Oryzias latipes: one gene and its partner. The protein of the gene in region 2 purifies or fractionates together with the protein of the main gene of each other region. This does not show direct contact. Links are inferred from orthologs where the notes say so. Each region holds a gene or a part of one and is shown on either strand. Other genes may lie near its edges.

Region 1 (6,396 bases), on a different chromosome or scaffold from region 2:
ACTACATCCTTCTGCATTCTGGGAACACTCAACACAACCTCCTCCACGAACCTCCTCCTTGGTCTTCCTCTCTTTCCTGGTAGCTCCAACCTCAGCATCTTTTCGCCGACATCATCACTGTTCCTCCTCTCAACCTGTCCAAACCCTCTCCATCTGCTTCTCTGCATTGATCTCCACAACCAGGATCTGTTCCTCTGATGGTCATTCCAGATCCACCCGGACCACTCCAAAAGAGAACCTCAGCATCTTCATCTCTGCTGCCTCCAGCTCTGCCTCAGAGCCCCTTAACCAGATATCACCAAATGGCGGACCGCGGTCCACATCCGGACCAACAGACTCTTCTCTCCGGTGTAGATACAATAACTGTTCGGCCTACAACTACCGTTCGGGGTCCTTCCAGTCACACTACGGTGGCCCCACTTGGACAAACTATGTAGCATGGAGATCTGCTCGGGCTCTACATATTTTCATTTCACGTTTCTTTTTGCAACGTAAAGTTATTTTCCTTCATAAGTTCTGTCCTACATTATTGTTTGTAGTGTTTATAGAGAGATTTAGCCACAACCCACTTTGTAAGAAGATCTGTGGCTGTTAGAATGAACCTGCTGCTCCACAGAGTGAACCGTGTCTCTGATCAGAGCAGCCAGAGTCTTGTAGCTTCGTGTTCATAGGCGGGGAAGGTGCTTTGTTAGAGTGTTCGGTCCGGAGAAGGGTTCAGAACGCAGGCCGTTTGGCTACAAATGGACTTAATAATAATCAGAACAATAATAAAAGCACGTTTACAAGATAACCCCGCTCTGTGTCGGAGCTCTGTTTGCTTACTCTGGACTTCATAATGTCTTTTTCTATGGTAGTGTCATAATTTGTCCAGACCAATCACTATCTAAAACGTCATCGGACCAACGGACAGCCAATCACATAATGTGACCTCAGCACTACTCGAAGGACCCCTGACGGTTGTTGTAGGCCGAACGGTTATGGTACCTACACCGGCGGTCCACATCTGGACCCTCCTTGGCTCCATGATCACTTTAGCTGCAGATGACCCTCCCGATCTCCCATAGTATGTGTCACCTCCTCCCTAAAAGCCAAACAGCACTTTTCCTTTCTCAACTTCCACCTCTTGGTCCTCTGCCCTTGTTTTCTTTATCTTCCTCGCACCTCACAGCTTTGCAGGTACTGATGTCGTTCACGTTTCGTCAGCACAGGAATCTGTCGCCTTAAAGCCGTTGGTGCATCAGCACAGTTGGATCTTTGAAAATTCGCCTTTTCACGTGTGAGGAAAGCATTCAGGCGGCTTTTCAGACTGCTGCCCTACGGAAGCTGGTTTACCAGCGAAACTCCAGAGACGGCGGTGTCTTTCTGTGACCAGCTGGGATTTGTCAAAGCACCGCACACTCCTCAATTCTTTGGTGTTCTCCCATGTTCCCGTCTCCCTGCAGAGGACATCGAGGTGCGTTTCTTCCAGGACTCCTGGGAGGGGAAGGGCACCTTCTCCCAGGCGGACGTGCACAGGCAGGTGGCGATCGTCTTCCGCACGCCGCCCTACCGTGACACCAACCTTGTTGAGCCAGTTAAGGTGAAGATGCAGCTTCGGCGGCCGTCTGACCGTGAAGTGAGCGAGCCTGTGGACTTCCAGTACCTACCAGCTGACCCAGGTAAGATGCACACATCTCTACCTTCCTAGGACATGTCATGCATTCATCCTCATGTGAAATCTTTCACTCTTCCTAAAGATGAATACCGGCTGAATGAGAAGAGAAAGCGGACAGCAGATGTATTCCAGAACTTGAAGCTGGGGTCGATGCTGTCCAGTGGTACGCTCACTAGATACTGTTAGCTGTTCTTTGAAGGTTTTTGTTAAAGTGTTTATGACCAAAAAAACGGCATCTGTTGTTTCAGTTTCCATCCCATCAGACCGGCGGCAAATGAACTTTGCAAGGAGAACAGTCCCACCTAAACTTTCCTCTGTGAATGTGTCAACCGGTGAGTTTTGATCCTAAATATTTTGCATCTGATGTTGTTCCTTTAAGGTTTGAATGTTGTTATTTACGGAAAATCCACTGAAAACAAAATAACACGGGTCTGCAACCCTTTATTGGGACAATTTGGCTTTCAAGAAAATGCTAATCGCTTGAAGAAATTATAGGTTATTTAATGAAGTTTAGTCATGTAACCGAGCCTGTGATGGTTAAAGGTTTCATCTACTGTCAGAGTAGCTTATTATAAGAATGAGTGTAGAGCTCCTACTCTGATCTTCAGATGCAGTCATTCAGAACCAAAGAATTGCATCTATATGCATAGATTTTTACAGAAAATCCGGATTCTACGCCAATGTTGTCATGTTTATATTTAATAAACAGCTAAAGGACAAAAAAAGAGGAGATGTTTGACTTGTCGACTGTATCTGAGAAATGGACTGAGTGATGTCATTGATAGAAAATGGTTTATTTCAGCCTCCAACCAAATGAAGTCAGTTCAGTCGCCTTTTATTTAATATTTTTTTTGGATTGGTCCGAGTCGAGCTGAGCCAACGTTTCTATTGCAACTATTCTCACCAATCAGGAGTGAAATTGTTCGAAGGCCACACCCCTACGACTTATAAGCAGACTCAGTAGAATCTGTCAATCAAATGTTTCGAAATTTCAACAGGGCACCACCTACTTTAATTGAGGCATCTGATTGGTCCTTTTATAATTTGAATAACTACAGAAAAAAAATCATTTGAAAAAGATTAATACGTTTATAAAAATGTATCATATCAAGAATTATTGACCAATAGAATGACTGAGTAACAACTGCTTATTTTGGCTTCTTGGAACTAGCAGGTACTTCCTGTTTGGAACGCTGGGGGGGGGTCACTCAGTCCAGTTCTCATATACAGTCAATGGTTTTACTTGGGTTTCTTGTATTTTTTTTCAAGTAAATCTTCCGTAGCAGGAGGCTCTCATTTGACACAGGATGTTTTATTTTGAAAGGAACTTACGTACGTAATGCTGTCAAAAGTAAAATATCTTAAATTTGTTTCTACATAGAAAAACATAACACAGTTATAATTCAATTATAGTAAATATTTACGAGCTAGATTTTATGAATGAATGCCTCGATGGCCACAAAAACATGAATCACATTTTCTAAACATGTAGTGGAACTTTGCGGCTCTGGCTGAGTCTTGGTCTTAAAACACAAAAACTTGGACAATAACTGTTCCTTAACTTTAGTTACTGCAAATATTACTGAAGCTTCACTCTGATCATGTTTTTATCTATTTTCAAAGTGTTAACAGTAATCTTTTAATGACGTTTTTGGCCTAAATCTAAACATCTGCGGTCGTCTCCAGGACATAGTTTCTGCAGCGCGGCAGGAGTTTGTTAGAAATGATCCTCTGAGTTGTGGGCGGGGCTGTTGCCGCCTGCCTGTATGTAAGGATAGAGTGGAATTGCAGCTGTTGAACTGAAACTGTTTGTTTTTCAGGGACCGAGACGCCCCCTGGTGCCAGTGCAGCCAAACCACAGGCCCCTTTCCTCTTCACTCAGCCGATCCAGGCCCCTGCGCCGCACAAGAGGGAGCTCCCCGACGCAACTTCAAGCCAACCCTGGAGATTTATGGAGACTCTGAAGAAAGATTTACAGACCCCCTTCGCAGGGAGTTCTTCATCAGCCGCTCCCTCCTCCTCCACCACCATCAGCGCCTCCACGGCGAGCAACCAATACCCCACAGTCAACATAGCAGACCTTCAGGAGTTCTTCCCCAACATTTTGTCCCCCATGAATCAGGAGGCAGAAGCCACTCAAGCTAGTAGTGCGCCCCCTCAGGCCAGCAGCTCCTTCCCCCTCCAGGCCTCGCAGTTCTCCACAAACCCCGCAGAAGACGACCTCCCAGAGTTCCCCAGCTTCTCTGAGGGCCAGGTCCCCATCACCCTGGATAGCCTGAACATGGACGACTTTGAGGACCTTTTGAACGTGGGCGGGGGTGGCGCCGTTCCCATTGGAAGTTCGGGCCAGCAGCCCCACGCCACCGCACCTCCCCAGAATCCCACAGCGGGCCAGAACCCCTCGGACCCTGCTGGCAACCCAGGAAGCACCTGGATGAACTACCCCAACAGCATCGTCAACCTGCTGCAGAGCGAGGGCATGATGGACGCCGCCCCCCTCAACAACCACCACAGCGGCTACGCAGAACCCGACGACTACCAGCTGCTGTCCGCCGACGACGACCGCCTCATGTCCATTTACGAAAATGAAAATCACGCCGAGTTTGTGGCGGGACGCCAGACCTAAAGGACCCTTTCACCAAAGACTTCTGCTTTCTGCCTTCAGGACTGAAAAGATGCCAAGGGGAAACAGAAAGACCGCTCACTGTGGACAAAGAAACCCCCCAACCACAGATTCAGATCATGTCCTTATCATTACAGAACCATTATGTGGAAGACGACCCGCGCGTGTTCATCAGCTGATGATGGCGTCGCTTCGCTGACACGTGTTTGGCAGGTTTTTGTACTGTATCTGAACAAGTTTATCTGCTGTTTTTAGAGGAAGTTTGGGGTTTTGAATCCAAAAATGAACAGCCTGGTATGTTGGCATGTTAGCATTATACCCTTTTTTTTTTATCAAGTGTCCCTTTGGTTTGAAGTGTCATCCGAAGGTTTTGTCTGCGTGTGTAAAGAACCACATGAAGGTCTACATGTAAATATTTACAGGTTGAACATGTGCTTGCAGACCAGTCCGTGTTCCTGCTTCTGTTATCCTGGTGTTTCTACGGTTACTGTCCAAAGAACCGACTTTTCTGTTTTGCTTTTGGTCAGCAGCCCCCCCCTCCACACACAGACATTATGCCTAACCTTTTTTCACAATAAAATCGACAGAATGTAAAGGAATTCTTCAAAAGTGTTTTATTTGGCTGATCGTGGTTCAAACAGAACGAATTCTCTCAAACTATCAAAAACGTCTCAAAGTTCAGATTTCTGTCACCCTTCCAGCTCCGTAGGTTGTTCCAACCACAAGAAATGAGTGCAAATCAAATACTGCTGGAATTACAGATTGGTTTCTTTCCAAAAAAGCAAAATAAAGGAAGATCAAAACATCTGCAAATGCCGCTCCGTGGCCCGGTAAACAGGAGCAGAACTCTTAGGCGTCAGTCCCACCAAACGCGCTGCCCGTCCGGACTGGACTATGTCAGTTCCAGGTTGGTGACTTTGTTGAGGATGTGGGAACGCCGGGGGACGCACTCCAGGTCAAACCTGCTCTCATAAATGGTGGGGCTAAGTTCCCAGCGGTTCCTTCGGTAGATTCCCAGGTAGGTGTAAACGTCGGGTTTGTAGAACAGCGGGCACTTGATCCCCGTGGAGCGAATGACGGAGTCCAGCTTCATGACGTCCTCCTCGTCGGTGAAGTTTCTGTTATAGACACATATGACGTGGCGACTGTCTCCTTTCGGGTCCAAGGGGCTGACTTTGGCGCACCAGATCTTCCCCTCCAAGGTTGCTCTGGCCACACACTCCCACGCGTGGTCCAGTTTAAAACCAGAGTCCAGGTGCATCAGCCACTTCCCACTGAGCACTCTGTGGTTGAGGGCCAGCTCCTTCACGGTCTGGAAGGTGACAGGTCTGCCACTGGCCAGGAGTTTCTCCCAGCTCTCCTGAAGATCTTCAACGTCCTCATCACTGGGATGGTAGTCGGGGCCCCTCACAGAGATCCACCCCACGGGGCCGACGCCACTCTTCTCGTCACCAAACCTGTGCACTTGGGAGGGCCGGTTACTCTCCAGCCAGGCATCAAACTCCGATTTGGGAGTTTTTCTGCAGTCAAAAATAATCCAGGGATCCATGTCTGCAGCCAGGGCTTCGGCGGCATAGTGATCTGATGCAAAGTTCTCCCTTTCACCGTTGGCAGAGGCCTCTTCTTCCTCCATGATGCCTTAAAGATGAGACTGGAACCGAGCAAGGAGTGTGGAGCTCCCTGCTGAAAGAAAGCAGGAGTTGTGTTCATGACGGCACGAGTGAGGGAGACTTATGCAACACAGAGGCTGAACTTTGGAGCAGCATCTTAAGGCCGTGTCACACACCCACTACGTTCCTTAAGTACATATTGCTCAGATAAAAATGGTCATACGTGGAAAAAGTGAGGAAAGTCGTGGTCTTTAAGTGAAATTGAAACACACCACGCAAAGAACACGTAAATCAATGCACAACATGAACCGTGTGATTATTGTGCTGTTTATATGCAATTCATAAGTGATTTGTGCGTAAATAATATAATTTTACCGTGAGAGGTGCGCCGTAGACGGGATATAAAAGTTATACATCGGTGGTTCATGCGACTCCTGCCGCTTCATCAGCGCGGTGATCAAGAATCCCACACCGTCACAGCTCCAGTTTAAATGTTGCGGGACACATAA
Region 2 (6,472 bases):
ATTTTTTTAAACTGTATTATTAAACTTATTAATTAAATTATTGACAAACACTTTTCATAAAAACGCTATTTTCTTTTTCTTTAGAGATTATTAGATGATCTTGTGATCATTTGCAGATAAAAGGACTTACTTCCTCTCCTGAGACACACTTCATTAATTAACCTAGAAGTAGAGATCACCCAGAATCAACAAAAGCTACTCAACAACTCAGACGGCAATTGTGTATAACTTACAAATTCATGATTCCTTTTCATTTGCCATTTCATTTTAAATTGATTATTTTTCTAATTTGTATTTCACATTTGATTCTGATCGATTTTGATGAACACTTTTACATGACTAAAGATTTGGAATGAACTATGTTGGAGCTTTACCCAAATTAAAAAACTAATTTGGGGGTAATTTAAAAAAGAAAATAAACAAATCTTTGCCTTTATTGAACAACATTGATTGCTGCATCTAAACAAATAGAATTCTTAAACCCAGACCTAATGATAACAACAGCCTTCCAAGAAAATAACAATGTGAATTGCTCTATATGTGTAGATAATTTTTCTTTTATCTGTAAATGTTAAATTGAAAAATATTTAACCTAAAACATACACAGATGTCCTAGGCTCTACTGATTAGCGATGTGCCTTCTCTGAATGTACCTAACAAAAGTGTGTGGAAGGACACAGTGTGTCTCCTCATAGTAGGTCCCTTGACAGAACCAAATCCTCCATGGACAGAACAATAAACTATTTAAACATGGACAGAACTGGGAGAAACCCGCCAATTGATTCAATGTTTTTAAAACAAACCCCACCGACGAACATACGAATCAGGAACCAGCTGCGCAGTCACATTAATAGCTGCTTCAAAACGACTTTACCTGAAATTACTACGATCCAAATCTTTATTTAAACCGCTCCGTGAACACAATCCTGGGTTTATTCAAAAATCCAAGTCTTTATTTAAACTTCTTCGCGAACAGCTTCAAATGCGCAATAAAGCTTGACCGTTTTGAAGATGGCGACATGCGGTGTAACACGGAAACAGACTCGTCTTGTCGGTTATTATGAGGTTCCGTTTTAAAAAAAAGATCATATGGATCTTGTACATATAATAATGCCTTTCTTATTTAGTTTTATTCTGGTTTTAATTGCCTTTTAATCCATTATACTTGGTCTTTGTCAATGTGTTACACAATAGGTTTTTAGAACTATATTGTTTGTCACACAACATTCAAAAAGGATTTTTACGATCCACCTCAAATCATGAAGCAAAACATTTAATCAAATAAATACAAATTATTACTACAACGTGCATTAAATAAAAAAAGACAAATTACATTGTAAAAATACAGGACTAGTCGATCAATGAAAGAGGAGTTGTATTATTGAGAGATTGTCATTATAAACAGCGTTGATAAGACAAACTGTTTAGTTGAGGTCTCCACATTGATAAATTGCTGCATTTTTGTGTTGAGTGTAAAAATTGGCCAAACATTTGTGAGTGAGTTTTGTAAATATCATTATGTTGTCGATTAGTAATTCTGAAACGGAATATCAATGTTTCATGTAAAAAAAAAGAAAGAAAATCTTGCTGTGAAAATTTGCTTTTGTGTCCATTACCACGTAAAGATAGGTCTAATCAGTCAAAAGAATAATATGTAACATAAACATATAATTCTACATATTTTAATAGCTGTCACAAACTAACCAAACATTGCACAAGGCATTTACAGTTGAGAGTTTAGAAATGTACTGTTTTAATTGTGCAGTGACAATATATGATATATACAATATATACAAATATATGCCGGAGTACCACCATATTCAATTTGTGTTTACAATTGCTTTTCAACGAAAAAAACACTTTTTTAAACCTGAGACAAACATTTAAGACATAATGGACTGTTGACTTTAAAAAAAAGTAACATTTTTTTCTTTTTTAATTGAAAAGAAAAACTTGGGGGTTACAATATGTGTGGCAGTTGTACAAGGTGTTCATCAAATTAAAATTAGAATGGGCACATAAAAACATGAACAACAATTATAAAATTAAGTAAAAGAATATACGATAACACAAAAAATACAAACTTACATTAAATAAGATTAAAATAAAAAAGGGGTTACATGGGCATTATAATGATCATAATCTTATGGGTTATCAAAAAGCAGTAATTTATTTATGATACTTTGGAGTTTCACGGCAGGTTTATATTCCATGAAGTTTATAGATGAAAAATAAGAGCAGAGTTTTTATGAAATGTGAAAAAATATGGTTTGATTTTAAGGAATCAGCATTTGTGTATTTACCCTGGAAAATTATAACTTTTAAAACCATTTCTGTGTTTATGTTTTCTAATATAAAACCCCAAAATTATGTCCTGAATAGAAAAATCTGCTAAACATGGACTCTTGAGGAAAAGCCAATAATGTGCATTGTTCCAGGAGGCATTAGAGTAAAAACGTTCAAAGAATAAACGCTCAGTTGTTTCAATGTCCTCATTACAAAAAGAACAACAATTTTCAGGAATTCCAAACCGTTTTCTGAGCAATTCATTGGAAATCAGAAACCTAAAAACGTTTTAAAGTGGACTTCTTTGGCTTTAAGAGGTATGGAAAGTTTTAAATATTTAGTTCGTATTTGTTTCTTTTATAAATTATTCTTTCCCCCCCCTTTTGTATTTGTTAACAGACATGTTTGTGTGTAAAAACAAACAAACAAATAAAGTTATTGGAAGGGGAAAAAACGGCGTACGTTGCTGCGTCATTGTCTGACGTCGTGTTGATTTTGAGCGCAGAAATTATGTATTTATAAATTGACGCAAGCGCGCTAAATCTAAAACAAGCTGTACAAAAATGCCAAATTACACAAGTGTGTGGATAAAGTGGCGGCACTCATGAAAGGTTCGAGCATATTTGTTTTTAACACAATAAATTCACATTTTGTCGTCAATTCGCGGTAAAAGGAAGAGGCTCAGCCGGTCGGGCTAGCTGCAGTTTAGCCTTAGCGGGGGGACTTAAGTTGTGAGTTTGATAAAGATGTTCTTGTTCGAGAATCACAATGGTACGAGCTTCGCTTGAGGCTTGGATTAGGCGTTTGTTCACTGGACTTTGTGTTGTAAAGCGTAGCACAATATAAGGTTGCCGGTTCGGCCAGGAAGCCGTACTTTTGTCCTCTGAGAACCAGGCAACTAGCTTAGCTCCGGCTAGCTTATTGGGTTAGCATCCTTGGAAAACCGCCCGATTATTAACCAATTTGCGTAAAAGCGCACAAACACTGGGGATCGTTTAATTGCAGGATAATGGCGCCTCGTGTACAATTGGAAAAGGCAGCTTGGCGCTGGGTGGAACACGTGAAACCAGAAGAAATCACACAGGAGCACATCGAGTTAGCATATCGCATTAACCTCCCGGCCTGCAAAAGAGGAGCCTGCAGGTACACAGCACTCATACTCTGCTCATCATGTGTCTGTCTGTGCATTTGTCATTTTGTCAACAGTTGTGTGAACTTTACTGTCTGCCAAAAAAGGAAAACCGTTTCCAACGAAATGCACAACATACTGTTTAGATTGTCAAGCTAGCTTTTTATGTATTAATTACCATTTAGTTTGGAAACTATACTTATTATTGTTTTCAAATGATCAACAAACGGGAAGGTAACTACTAGGAACTACCGGGCTGTTCATTAATTATTGTTCTACCTACTTAGGAAACACAGAAAATGCATCTTATGTATTCAGCCTAAAAACAAAACAAAATTAAGTTACTAAAAATGTAAAGTTAGTATCAATTAGAAACAAAATGATATTGTTTTTATCCTTGTAAATCAAATATTAAGTAAAATAAAATAAAATTCAATGTAAATGAAATATGGAAAGGGCTGGCCTTGACTGGCTTTGACTTAGACTTTTGAGGTCTGGAAAGCATTGCCTTCATACTACTGAGTGATGAAAGGATTAAATATTTTTAATACCAAATGGTGTTTTATTCAGTTTGTGTTTGTTCCTTTTGTTTTCTCTTTTCTTTAAGAACACAACCCTGTAAAATGTTTCAATTGAAATTAATAAATATTTATAAACACAGAACAAACTCTTTAAAAAAAAGTCCAAATAATATATTTTTTTTAGTATTTCTTTAAAAAAAAAAGACATTTTACTCAGTGAATTGTACATGAAACAATAAATACAGTAAATAAAAGAAGTAATCACTAATGATGTATGTACAAAAAATGTTTTATTAGCATTTATTACCGGGGTTATTTCTTGATTCCTTTCTTTCTGAGTAATTCTGCATTATTTTAAAGTCCTACCAACAGCATTTAAAATAAATTTTAATTAAAAATACTATGTTGATTTTTTGTTTTTCCAGGTTGAATTAAGCCATGGTGTTTTTGTTTTTGTAATTTGGCAAACGGTGTATTTTGACATCAATGTGGCTAATTGTTGGACACAAACACTGCTGTTTGCACAGCTAAAAAGTGCCACGTCAGATTAAACACACATTCCTGTAGAGTCATGCAGATCTCTGTGAATTGAACAACAGCAAGTCTGAGCATTTTGCCCCAGTCTGTGTTAACTTCCTGCTCTTTTAAATGTCTTTGCTATGATGATTCAGCAAACCAACATTCAAAAAGCTGCCATTGTCCCCGCAGGAAAGTAGTTTCCATTGGTGCTACTGGTCTCCATGCATGGAGTCAGTTATCAGATGTTAGGTTTGCTTCATTCCCATTTGCTCTTATAAAGTGTTAGTTTTACAGAGATTATAATACCTTTTGTTTCTTTTTACATGATTTTTGTCTTTGTTATCAGACAGAACAGTGGCTTGGAAACTGACTGAACCATTAAGGCTACACTTTAACTGGTAGTTACTACGTTTATTTGATTCACCAACCTTTGACAGAATTGGTCTTTTGATTCTGGTTGTGTTTGAATTGTTCTTAGGATGCTAGTCCGGTTGGCTCCGGGACAGACGAGGGATGAAAAGCCTGATAGAGGTTAGTTTTGTGAAAACAGGAAATTAATCAGCTGCGTTTACATTTACAGAAGAAATTGCAAAGGAAATCCCAACTGCCTCGTGGGTATTGGTGAACAAGCCTGGCTCGGGGAGATCGATGAGAACACGTTCCACAACATCGATGATCCAAATTCTGAACGGCGAGATAAGGTCTGTCTGTAATCCTCTGCAAATAAGTAGGATTTGATTATCCTGTCTGGATTTCACTTCACTTCCTCTGCCCGTGTCTGACACTTCCCCCTCCAGAACACATTTGTTGGACTGACCAACCTTGGCGCAACATGTTACGTCAACACATTCCTGCAGGTGTGGTTCCATAACCTGGAGCTTCGGAGGATCCTCTATCAATGCCACAATTCACGAGCACAGGAGCACGACACGGACACAGGTGCGTTCAAAAACGTCCACACCAGGACAAACAGCAGCGGCTAAGACTGCAGGTGTAGATGTCTATAACGCTCACAGGGCGCATGTTGGATGACCGCATTTCTGGTTCAATAATCACAGTCACATGCAGAAAAGTTTCACGCTCAAAGAAGAAGCTTGTTAGGAATAAACAGGAAGAGTTTGGATTTTAAAAAGTCAATTATTTTCAAGCCTACCAAAATCAGGTGATTGGGAGTAATTTTTATAAATTTGCAAATTAACTTGATTTGTGTTCCTCATAAGTCCAAGTTCAATGGGAAAGTACAGAGGCCATACTTCCCTATTCAATGACAGAAGTTGGAAACTTTCTGTTAGTTTTTAAAACTTCACGAGTCTGTTCTTGTTAAATGTTGCGCTGACAATCTTAGCATTAGCTAGAACCACCAAAATGGATATTTTCTTCTTCTTTTCTTGTAGGGATGTTGTACATCCAAACTGAACAGCACGCAATTCCCAGAGGGAAACAGCAATTGCCTTAAATACTTTAAGCTTCCTCTGAGTCTTCTGTCTCTTGCTGATGAAAATCCGACTGCTCCTTTCAGGCTAATGGCCGATATCTGATAGACTGCAATTTGTCCTGTTCACATGTTGCTCAAGAAAAAAAATATACAGTGAAACATTTTGTGTGCATGTGAATAGGCTAAATGGTGTTTTCTTATTTTTGTTTTTACCCTGAATGTATCGTCACCAGTTTGTTATTGAGACTTGTCAATGTCACTTCTGATGATTAATGAAGAACTTTCCTGACTTTTAGAAATCTATAAATAAAACAAATAAACAAGGCAACAAAGTTACAAAAAACTAAATATTTGTAATTATACAGACAGAAATATAACAGAACTGTTAACTTGACATGGTTAATAACCGTCTGTTGTTATTAACTATCTTCAGAGTATATCTCAATGGCAACTTAATTCTGACTAATTTAATTCATTTTCGGTGGCTACGTTTAGCTGAGATTATTTTATACGGTAATAAAAAAAACATAGGGACAGAGTATGTCTCCATGGAAACCAGACTGTGCTAAAATAATCCTGGTT

Evidence for each region. Proteins that work in one complex are often made in the same cells at the same time.
Region 1: the proteins of usp48 (region 2) and putative transcription factor p65 homolog purify together in Homo sapiens (affinity purification with mass spectrometry; 3 studies listed by BioGRID, with this or other methods). This does not show direct contact. The link is inferred for Oryzias latipes from reciprocal best matches to the Homo sapiens genes USP48 and RELA.

The regions. Positions count from the first base shown.
Region 1 is NC_019876.2:27,223,686-27,230,081, forward strand, and holds the end of putative transcription factor p65 homolog, read left to right. Parts: intron 1-1,442; coding exon 1,443-1,658; intron 1,659-1,736; coding exon 1,737-1,817; intron 1,818-1,902; coding exon 1,903-1,986; intron 1,987-3,474; coding exon 3,475-4,280; 3' UTR 4,281-4,872; downstream 4,873-6,396. Other genes in the region: UPF0696 protein C11orf68 homolog, read right to left, coding at 5,170-5,173; UPF0696 protein C11orf68 homolog, read right to left, coding at 5,170-5,910. UniProt on the Homo sapiens protein: NF-kappa-B is a pleiotropic transcription factor present in almost all cell types and is the endpoint of a series of signal transduction events that are initiated by a vast array of stimuli related to many biological processes such as inflammation, immunity, differentiation, cell growth, tumorigenesis and apoptosis.
Region 2 is NC_019863.2:19,935,451-19,941,922, reverse strand, and holds the start of usp48 (ubiquitin carboxyl-terminal hydrolase 48), read left to right. Parts: upstream 1-2,754; 5' UTR 2,755-2,897; intron 2,898-3,291; 5' UTR 3,292-3,295; coding exon 3,296-3,429; intron 3,430-5,035; coding exon 5,036-5,156; intron 5,157-5,252; coding exon 5,253-5,394; intron 5,395-6,472.